Drosophila melanogaster: one gene and its partners. The protein of the gene in region 3 interacts with the protein of the main gene of each other region in a pairwise test. Each region holds a gene or a part of one and is shown on either strand. Other genes may lie near its edges.

Region 1 (3,160 bases), on a different chromosome or scaffold from region 3:
AAGCGCATTCTAGCCATATTTTGTGAACCAGGCAGCCGGGAGGAGGCATTAAAGAAGGCCATTCGGTTGGGCTGCATCCAAGCCATCAAGGAGCGAATGTTATCGCTGCCCCCACTGCCAGAGGAATCGCACATACGCCAGATGCAGGAGCGTAGACGCATGGAAACGGAGCAGCGTATCCTCACCGAACAGCGCATGGCCATGGAAGCCTACGAACGAAATAACATGGCAGCTAACCAATCCAACGTTGGAGTTCCTGGTCCGGAAAGCGGATCCTTTGCCCAAGGGGTATGTAGACGAGGACTCTCTGCAAAGATCAATATGTAACCTCTGTGATTCCATTTGCTTCACAGTCTGATCTTCAATCTCTGAACAACTGGTCAGCACCGCAGGCGGCTAGCAAGTCCAGCCTGGACGATCCGCTGATCGAGCAGATAAACATCATTAAGGGCTACATCAAACAGGCTCGCCAGGACATGAACTTTGAGGTGGTGGAGACGCTGGAGCTAAATCTTCGCGAGCTACAGCGCGAAGTGTACGAGCGACAGCGCCAGTCCCAGGGAAGCACCGCCGCCTCACCCACAGAGGCCTAAGCAGTATCCTACATAGTTAAATGTATATTCATTCCCTCTATGACAAATTACATGGCTTACGTTACGTTACGAATTTGTGGTGTATATTGTGCGAAAAATTTTAGTTTGTGCGAAGTTTCTGTAAATCAAAGTTTGTGCGTTTGACGACAACTGAGACTATAAAATGCAACATCCTATTTCGATTGAGTCTATGACTTCAGGCCAACGGCAGCGATCAGTGCCTTGACCTTGGTAATGTAGGCGGCCTGGGCGTCGGTATTGCTCATTCCCTTGCGGTTGTTCCACGCCTCCCACTTGGCCTTGCCCTTGAAGTCCAGAAAGCCGGGCTTATCTGCATTGGATTAGAATTATCGATGGTGCAGCGGAGTGACGACTATGTCCGAGACCCACCTGTATTGCAATCCCCCACAGTGGCCTGTTTGTACAAGCTGTAGAGCTCCAAAAGGTCATTGTCCCCGGGTGTGGTGTTTAGGTTCTTAACATCTTCGGCCGCCTGGTTGAATTCCTGTTTAGGTTAAGTTTGAATAGGTAATCAGACTTTAAGATACGAATGCGTATTTGACGTAGATTCAGTTCACCTGCAATTCGGACATTTTTGTATCTATTTTTTAACTAGTGGAAGTCTTTGGAAAAGAAATTGCACGATTTTACTTCACCGAATCTATCGGCGTCTATCGATATCTGGTCTATACTTTTGTGTGACCAACAGTTTTTCAATTTAGAGTGGACAAGCTGTTGCGTTTTATTTCGCGGGTCTGGCAGCCTATACACTTAAAAGATTCGAAGTCTAATTTCATATTGAGAACTGAGATACATTATTACGATGATAGTTAGGAACATGTGTAACAGTTGGTAGACAGTTTCTTGCCAAAACAATTGTGTTTTGAAAAAAGCTATGGAATAATATGAACAATATCCAAAATAGTCCGTTAAGATTTTCAAGACATTAACGAAATATTTTAAAAACCTTCCAATGTTGATTGTCTCAATTGAACATCTTTCAGCCCACTGTCCTGCTCTCTCCAAATGTGGCAACAAAAATGAGAGGCTTATGGCGCGTGAAACATGATTTCTATTAGTAACATATGGAGTAATGATGTGCTGTACGTCAACGTTTTGAACAGTTGTACATAGTAATTAAAATGTATCAATATTAAGAGGAAATTTAATATATAACTACTTCTTAAATACACAAAATACAATTGATTTCTAGCATATGTGGCCATATTAGACATCATCAATACATGAATTTAACTCATTTCATGATATGACACCCGCATAAACGCATTGTGAGAGCGGGAGAGCGTGGGTATTTAAGGAGAAGGTAGCGCTAACCACTCATTCAGTTCGAAATGTTTTCATCTGCGTTGGTCGTGCGTCCGGTGCTCCGCTAAAAGTAACAAAAAGTGCACAAATTGCCGGGAGAAAATGTTACATTAACGATATTTTCGGTTAATGCTGAGCACACGGATACGGATACTACGCTATATACGCAGTTCGCAACCAAAATCGATGCAATACGCGGATTTGGGCAAACACAACGCAGTGCCTGTAAAAATCGAAGCCGAAACGAAACAATAACAAATGCGCTAAAGTTCTTACCAAATAATTTGCACCGTCAGAAAAAGAGTGGTGAAAAGTGGTCAAAAGTGATCGAAAAGATCTGAAAAGTTCGTTAAAATAAAGAAAGTGTATGGTTAAGTGTGCGTTCCTGGTGATAAATCGGTAAAAATCGTTCGCTTTCGTTTTTGTTGTGGTCGCCGTTCGCAGAGCTTATGCAAATGTGGTAAGACACCGTGGAACTTGGCCATATTTTCTCTGTTTTGCTCGACTCCGAATGCCTAGCAACTCGATAAAAAGGGCGCTAAATAGCTGAAGCTGAAGGTCTTTCGACTCGTCAAACAAATTCGAGATTCACAAATAACAAGTGTGAAGAGCAGGCAAACAAGAAAACCAAACGCATTTGATTTCCCATTCTGATTTCCCGTGTTCTAGTTCTTTGTGTTTTTCTCACTTCTCACTTCCCCCTCTCCATCTCTTTCTGCCCCGCTGGCTTTTGTTTGACTTTCCTGGCCATAGCCCGATCACGCCATCTCGCTCGCACACCGTGTATTTTCAGCTGTTGATCTATTTTTAATTTCATTATCGCGTACTGCAAGTTTTTTAAATCCGTTTCTGTGTCAATTAGTTTGAGGAATTAGCGCAGGCACGGAAAAGCGTCAAATCAGCGCAAATAACTTTCATTTATTTACATTTCTCTGCCGCGATAAGCGTTTCAGTAGTAAACCCCTTTCATTTAACAAGTATTTACTTTCAAGTGCGGCGATAACACCACTAGAAGTTAACCCATTAGCGGTCAGATAACTCATGGTCATGGATGAACGCTTAAAACGCGAGTCATAATCATAAGTCAGATGGGAGTGGAGAACAAAATATTAGTACAAAAATATACATATATACTGAACAGAAGTTTCAAGTTTTTTTTACCGGATGTCCCTTTGCTCATCCAAGCTTTATAATAAGTTTAGTTTCGTAAATAAATAAATGTTTTTTTTTTTTTTTTAATG
Region 2 (3,372 bases), on a different chromosome or scaffold from region 3:
TTTTTGTGGCAGCCGCAATGTCGCCCAAGGAGTTCGTGTGCCATGTCCTGCGTCCTGCGTCCTGCGTCTTTCGTCCTGTGTACTATGTACTGTGTCCTTTGCACTCGACTGCGCTGAGTCGAGTTAATGAAAGGCCAAGTCAAATGCCTCACTGATTGCATTGACATCCTTCTGGCCCTTTTTGGCCCTCTTGGCCCAAAATGTATTTGGCCAAACTTTACGTATGATTTGCTGGGAAAATTGAAATTTGCCCTGCATCCTGTGGGGTCGACTGGGATTCATTATTACGTCCACACATCCGCCCCATCAAGTCGGTTCTGCAGTTCACAGTCTGCGATTTGCATTTCAATTATGTTCAAATTGCATCTTCCATATCTGCCATTTCAAATATTATTCAAGCAGGGGGAAAATTTTGTGTTTGGCTTCCCAGTCCACCCATATATGTACATATGTACATGCATACATACATATTTGGTCAGCAAACTGAAATTTTCTGTTATTTATTTGGCCATGTTTCTTGCGAATTTTCGGAAAATAAAGACTCTGATTGACTTATTATTGCATTATGTATTTCCACCAGTTCTACGTTACTTTGCATAAAACAAATCAATAAAAAGCAGACGAGTTTAAAACAATGCATGTCTACTATTTTGCTCTAATACAATTATTAATCACTGTATACAAATAATAATAATGAAAATCACACTTATACTAAGCACAATCGTGTGTAATTTCCATTAGAGGGCGTTTGATCTGATTAGAAGACTCAACAATGAACTGTGATGAAGCCCATTGTGTCTGTCATGTGTGTGTACATATATGTATGTAGTAATGTATATATGTATACTTTATTTTTTGTTTATTTGGTAAATTACGAGGCGATAGTTCCACTCTGCTTGCCCTTAAAATAACACTGGAGAATCAGGTATGGATAGTCGCACGTGTCCAGATTGGTGACGCCATCGAACTGCTGCTTACACTGGGACAAAATCACGTGGTCCTCTTGAGATCCTCGCTTTCCCACCTTCTGCAGATCGATTTTCCCATCATCACCGAAATAATCCTGGATCAGACACCGGCTATAGCACTTAACGGCCACTGGAACATCCGCAACGGGAGTGGATGGAGCCACTGCCTGCACTTGGGCACTGGTCAGATTGTGGTGCTTTAGGCAACCCTCTGCGTTAACGCGGCCAGCTGATTGCCACTAGAATAGATGGTATTGTTAGATGGACACATAACTATTTCGTTAAGAACTGACCATAGTTATCAAGCAAATCCATAGTACAGCTATGCTGCACACAACCTTCATGGCGAAAATCTGTTTCCCAACTAACAATGAGCGCATCATCACAGCTCTATATATATAACCCATCGATTTGCTAATTCAGCTCAAAAGTAGACAGGAGATTTTAATTAAATAATTGGATGCTACTTTACATTCGCCACACACCAACAAATAAAGTCTATAATTGAAATTTTAAGCGCAGTTCCCGATTATGAGCTACACGTATGTCGTATGCGCAATATCTGCATTACAATTGCCAATAGTAAATTACCAACTTGGTTTTCTTCATATTTATTAAGATAGAAAACATACAATTTTTGGCTTTTACACTCCAAGCATCTCTGAAGTTTAAACAAAAAACATATGTGTAGCCTATCTACTGTATTGGACTTTATTCGTATATTTTATATGGTTCATTAATATAGGTATAAATACAAATTATATTCACGCTTTGCGATTTGCAGCGAATATCACATCTTATACACGATGTAAAAAAAAAAAAAATATTTCGTCATGTTTTTAGGTTGGCCGCAGGCAGTGCTCACTGTACCGCCACAATGTTTATCGTTTTGCATTTTTTTTTTCTTTGTTTTCTTGCGGTTTCCCCTAATTATCTTTAGTATAAACTTAGTCTACTGTCTTTTTTGGTAAGTATTTTCGTGATGGGCTCGTCTATGCGAATTCCCATTTCCAATGAATAAATAAAGTAATTAGAACATTAAAATTAGCAATAAAACACGTACATTTAAAGCTGACAACAAAAAAAAAAAGTATTCTTATGTTAAACTGTAGTATGTGCCTATGCAATATTAAGAACAATTAAATAAAATAGCATATTAACTTATGGCAGCACTTTGTTGCTATGTTTATGTTTATGTTTATGCACGCAGTTAGGCCAGGGCGGATGTAACATGATCACCCACTCGAAGGCAAAAAGTATAAGTGCATGGTCAGCATTCACACGCCGACCAAATACATATTACATACGTACATACATATCTCGCTCTCCCGATAAGCCTAGATATATAAGATATACATAAGAACGCCGCTCCGCTGCTGGCGTACCCGGCAGCGCAGCTACGCGGATTAGCCTAAGTCCAAATATATTAAAAACTGTAAAATCAGAGAGACTCTGTAGACGTTGAGCTGACAGAACCATTTCTGCCTACTCTAAAATCAAAAGAAGAAATTGAATAAATATATGTCAGCCCGACGGCTGCCTTCAACTTAAAACGGACTTGTGTTCTGAATTGGAGTTCATCATTACATGGCGACCGTGACAGTCGTCCAACGCTGGACGAATTGACCAAAGCTGGTGAAAACAAAGGAACAAAGGAACACTGGACTGGAAGAAGACTGGACTAATTAAATGGAACTGCAAAAACCAAGGAAAAATCTGAGTGAGTAGAGTTCTATTGAGTATGGGCAAACACCGTGGCGGTTTGAAAACTAAGCTGAATAAACGTATAGCCCACGTAAGGTGGCTAATATACGGTCAGCAAACGCCACCGGTTTGGTCGAAAGCTCTAAAGCTACATGCAGAGCTAGACCACTTGTTGCAATATCAGCAAGAATTAAAGACCCATAAGCTCGAGAAAACTCACTCAGATAATATTAAAAATATACCCACAATTAATGAAGTTCCAAAATACCAGGCATGTCCAGCACCAGCACCAGCATTAACAAAACCAAAGAAGTCCTGCCCCCCTGGCTGCGAAGGAATCTGGAGTCCCCACTGCCTGGGGACTTGTGAGCGACCATCGACGTCTTCAGCGGCGAAGAAATAGACAGCAGCGAGGGAGTGTCAGCGTGCCACCCCCGGCGACGCCCAGCTGACACCTGATGAGCATCATCAACAGCAGAATATAATAATAAATATATATAAATATAAAGTAAATATAAAATATATATAGATAAGAAAAATTGTAAGAAATATTGTAAAACGGAGCATATACTATTATGCCCTGTTAACCCAATATGGCCCGTGAAGCCATAGCTAGAATCAGGCAGGCAACAATGTAAAATACAATTTTTTTTTACTCTTGCGAACATTGAAAGATTTTATAAATAGATAATTCCAAACA
Region 3 (3,764 bases):
GGTTCAGCCATTTTAGGTTAAAATGACGTCATGTTTTCTCTTTAGAAGACGCATAGCGGCAAAAAAAAAAAAATTAAATGAAAAAACCGGCCGACGCTCACACATACAAATGAGCAGCAAGCTCTTATGTGCGTGTAGAAAAGCTATCGTGTTTTGACGATAGAAAAGTACCCTTCACCATCTGGGCAGTGAAATGGCTTTCACAACCGGTGAAAAACTATGAAAGTCTTTCGCCCAAGAGAAAATGACTCATGCATGCAACACGCACACAGGCATACACACAGCCACCAGCGTCGGTGTAATTGCAGACACACCCAACTATAATTACTTACATATGTACATACATATGGGCACGAAGTACATATGCGAATGTCAATGGCCCTAAAGCATTATATCGATCGGAAATTCGGGCGTAACAAACTTTCGTTCTAAATTTTGGACCCCAAATGCCAGAGTAGAACAACAATTTTCAAGCATCTTTGCGAAATCGGACAAATATGCGGTATATACAAACACAGATGCCGGGACTCAAAAAGACCACTCGACACACACACGCACACAACTTGGTATACATAAATGCAAATGTGTGAGTGTGAAAATGCCGGCCTCAATACAAATTTTTGCCACATGGACAGCGAAGTCGTGCAAAAATGACGCCATTTTGGCAACTGTACTCTGGATGGAAAATGAATGGAAAATGCAAATGGGAAAACTTACCTTGGCGCCGATTTGGTTGCCGCACTGACCAGCTTGGATGTGAACGATTTCCCTCATTTTGTATTTGTTTTAGGCTTTTGAACTTTTAACTTAAAATTATCTTTCGCTTATAGCAGTCGAACACAACACAAACTGTCCGCTTCACACACTTGGAAAAATTAGTGCATTCGCTTTGGAGAGCGCGGGCTTTTATACGATGGCCGCAGTGTGGCCATACTACATGAAAACGAATAAAACGCAAATCCCGTTTTAGTGTGCTAAAACATCCCACTTGCCTGACATAACATTAAGTTTTAATTAATGTCAATGAAATAAATACAAAGTTTAATCGAAAGATAGTAGCTATGTTGAAAAATGTATTAAAAGGGAATACATTTTTGTCCATTTTATCACATTAAACTCAGTTGAAAAGATATCTTCCAGTATAATCTTGCTGGGCTTAAAAATAAACACCAGATGTAAGCCAGATACAAACTTTGAAAAATTTAAATAATTAAAATTTTTTTCTAAATTTAGGAACTATAAAGGTACATTTTTTTTTCATTGTTAATAGTGTATATATTATACTCTTACTAAGCAGATCCTGTAAATTCTAGCGACAACAAACTGTTAACAACTATTTTTATATTATTATTATAAGCTATTGACTGACCTATTTCGATGTTATAATGTCCACTTCTTTGGGAAGGATTTACAAAAATAAATATTACAATATTTATTATATTATATTATATATATATATAATTATATTATAATATTAATATATATTAATATTAATATTATAATAATATAATATAATAATTATTATAATATTATAATATTATTATAATATAATAATTAATATTAATATTATAATAATATTTATATTATAATATTTACAATATTACACAAATATTATTACAAAATAAATAAATAATAAAAATAAAATAAATAATAAAAAATAATACGAAAAACAACTTACAGTGTGTTACCACCTTAACATTTCGCCACAGCTCTCCTCAAAGGCCAGAAAACATAGGATGCACACTGTAGAAACTATCGCATCGCCTAACTACTGCCATCGCTAGAAGTTCCGCTGTATTATTTTGTGGTTATTTTCTGCGCGCGCTAATGCCGACTTGCATGCCGGCGTTGCGTTTCGTTTGGAAAAAGTGGATCTCTAGCTGGCATTTGGATAGCTAAGTGACTCCGTGACCCACAGAGGCACCAGCTTGACTGCATAGATAAGCGTGACAGATTACCGAAATACTAAAGCGATGCTAACCCTACTAATTCGGCTGGCGGCGACGGCCATACCTGTTTGTGCTATTCTCTTTGTGGCCGGCACGTTTCTGTTCAAGGTTTATATTAGCATACGGTAAGTGATGCATTGAGTTATAATAGTCCAGACTAACTAACCTGCAATGTCTACAGATCCCGCTACGACGCCCGTGTCAACTGCTGGTTCTGCAATGGCAATGTACGAGTTCCGTACCAGGATCGCAACAGTTGGACCTGCCCGTCATGCGAGCAATACAATGGATTCACCAAGGACGGCGACTACAACCGGGATATTACGTCGCAGCGGGACTGCAGCCTTGGCTCCCAAAAGAACAGCTCCAAAGGCAGCTCCAGCATCTGTGCCAACTCATATTATTCCGATGTCCTGACTGCTCAACCTCCTGCTCCCAAAAACGGCCTGTGCGACCAGTGCAACGAGGCGCAGCGCCTGAAGGTCGAGAAGCTCTCTCAATTCGAGCCCAAGAACGAGTCCCGATTCGATCAGGAACTAAAGGTTTACAGGTGAGCTGTCATAACAATAAGCATTATATATACAATGTTATGGTATCTATGTTTACTAAGAATCAAGCAAAGTAATTTAGCTTGATGTGTTTTATAAATGAGTTAATCGTGTTTAAGTCAAGCAAATAAGATATACAACAAACATACAAATGTATGTCTGAATATGATCTAAATACCCGTATCTACATCGGTTTGCAAATCAAAGACAAGTTAACTAGATTAGATAGTTTCTATGAGTAAGCCGATTTATAATTTATATCTATTAATAGAGAACCTTTAATATAAAAGCTGGGGCACAAGTTATTAAATAATAATATTTATGTTTTCCGTAGAGAACGACTGGAGAAGCAGTTTCGCCTGTGTAGCAGCTGCGAACGACATGTGAATAAAGTCCTGCACGAGAAGAAGAAAATGGTGTTGAGCTCCAAGTTCTTGAACTATATCATCAAGGGAGCATCGTTGCTCAAGCAGCCGCACTTCAACCGATTGGCCGCTGCCCAAAAGCAGTTTAAACTGCAGCGATACCGCATTCTGATGACCATCCTGACTGTAGTCAATATTTTGTGCCTGCTCTGCCGGCTGCCGAATGCAACTTCCATTCAGTTTACGACTTACCTTGGAAAATTCATTGGGCTAACCTTGTTCTACGCCTACTCCCACGTGCTGGCCTTAATTCGAGTGGTGACTTCGAGCGTAGGCATTTTCCTGGAACAGCGCGAAATGATAGCCAAACTTTTATTGTATGGCCGTACCTTTGGCAAGCTCTTGCTGTATTCGCTTGGCATAGGCCAACAGCAAGTGCAGCAAGCAACCTTCGCATCCTGTTTTATTGGGATCTACCCATATGCCATGCTGGCCCTGTGTTTCCTGCACACGATATACGACGGATTGAAATTTACGCGATTCACCATTGCTCTATTGTTATGGAGTGGGTATGCCATGGGTATCGAATTCCTGGATCCTTACATCAGTGGAATATCCTTTATAGTAAGTGCATTTACTTATATTTGAATCTTATTTAACAAATTCTTTAAACAGCTGGTGGGAAGTTTTGTAACCCTTGTTTTGTTGGCCACCAACCGGACCAATCTGTTGAGCCAAGTGAATCGGGACGAGTCTGCCTGTGAGAGCTTCCATCGCCTCTGTGCGGACGAATGCGATGATGAAACGCTGAGCATGCTCAGTCAGCAGTTAAGTGGATACAGTGATATCAGCAATAGCAATTTGTCCATGCGAACCGCCTCTGTGTGCCACTCACCCGCCCC

The links.
Region 1: the proteins of CG7744 (region 3) and Acbp1 interact in a two-hybrid assay, tested with the Drosophila melanogaster proteins (one large-scale study listed by BioGRID).
Region 2: the proteins of CG7744 (region 3) and Obp18a interact in a two-hybrid assay, tested with the Drosophila melanogaster proteins (one large-scale study listed by BioGRID).

Annotation. Positions count from the first base shown.
Region 1 is NT_033779.5:8,161,140-8,164,299, forward strand, and holds Acbp1 (Acyl-CoA binding protein 1), read right to left. Parts: upstream 1,314-3,160; 5' UTR 1,187-1,313; coding exon 1,172-1,186; intron 1,099-1,171; coding exon 984-1,098; intron 925-983; coding exon 782-924; 3' UTR 657-781; downstream 1-656. Other genes in the region: Rbsn-5 (Rabenosyn-5), read left to right, coding at 1-288, 354-593.
Region 2 is NC_004354.4:19,134,532-19,137,903, forward strand, and holds Obp18a (Odorant-binding protein 18a), read right to left. Parts: upstream 1,338-3,372; 5' UTR 1,313-1,337; coding exon 1,262-1,312; intron 1,208-1,261; coding exon 872-1,207; 3' UTR 550-871; downstream 1-549.
Region 3 is NT_033778.4:19,450,716-19,454,479, forward strand, and holds the start of CG7744 (uncharacterized protein), read left to right. Parts: upstream 1-1,788; 5' UTR 1,789-1,973; coding exon 1,974-2,074; intron 2,075-2,130; coding exon 2,131-2,499; intron 2,500-2,831; coding exon 2,832-3,486; intron 3,487-3,537; coding exon 3,538-3,764.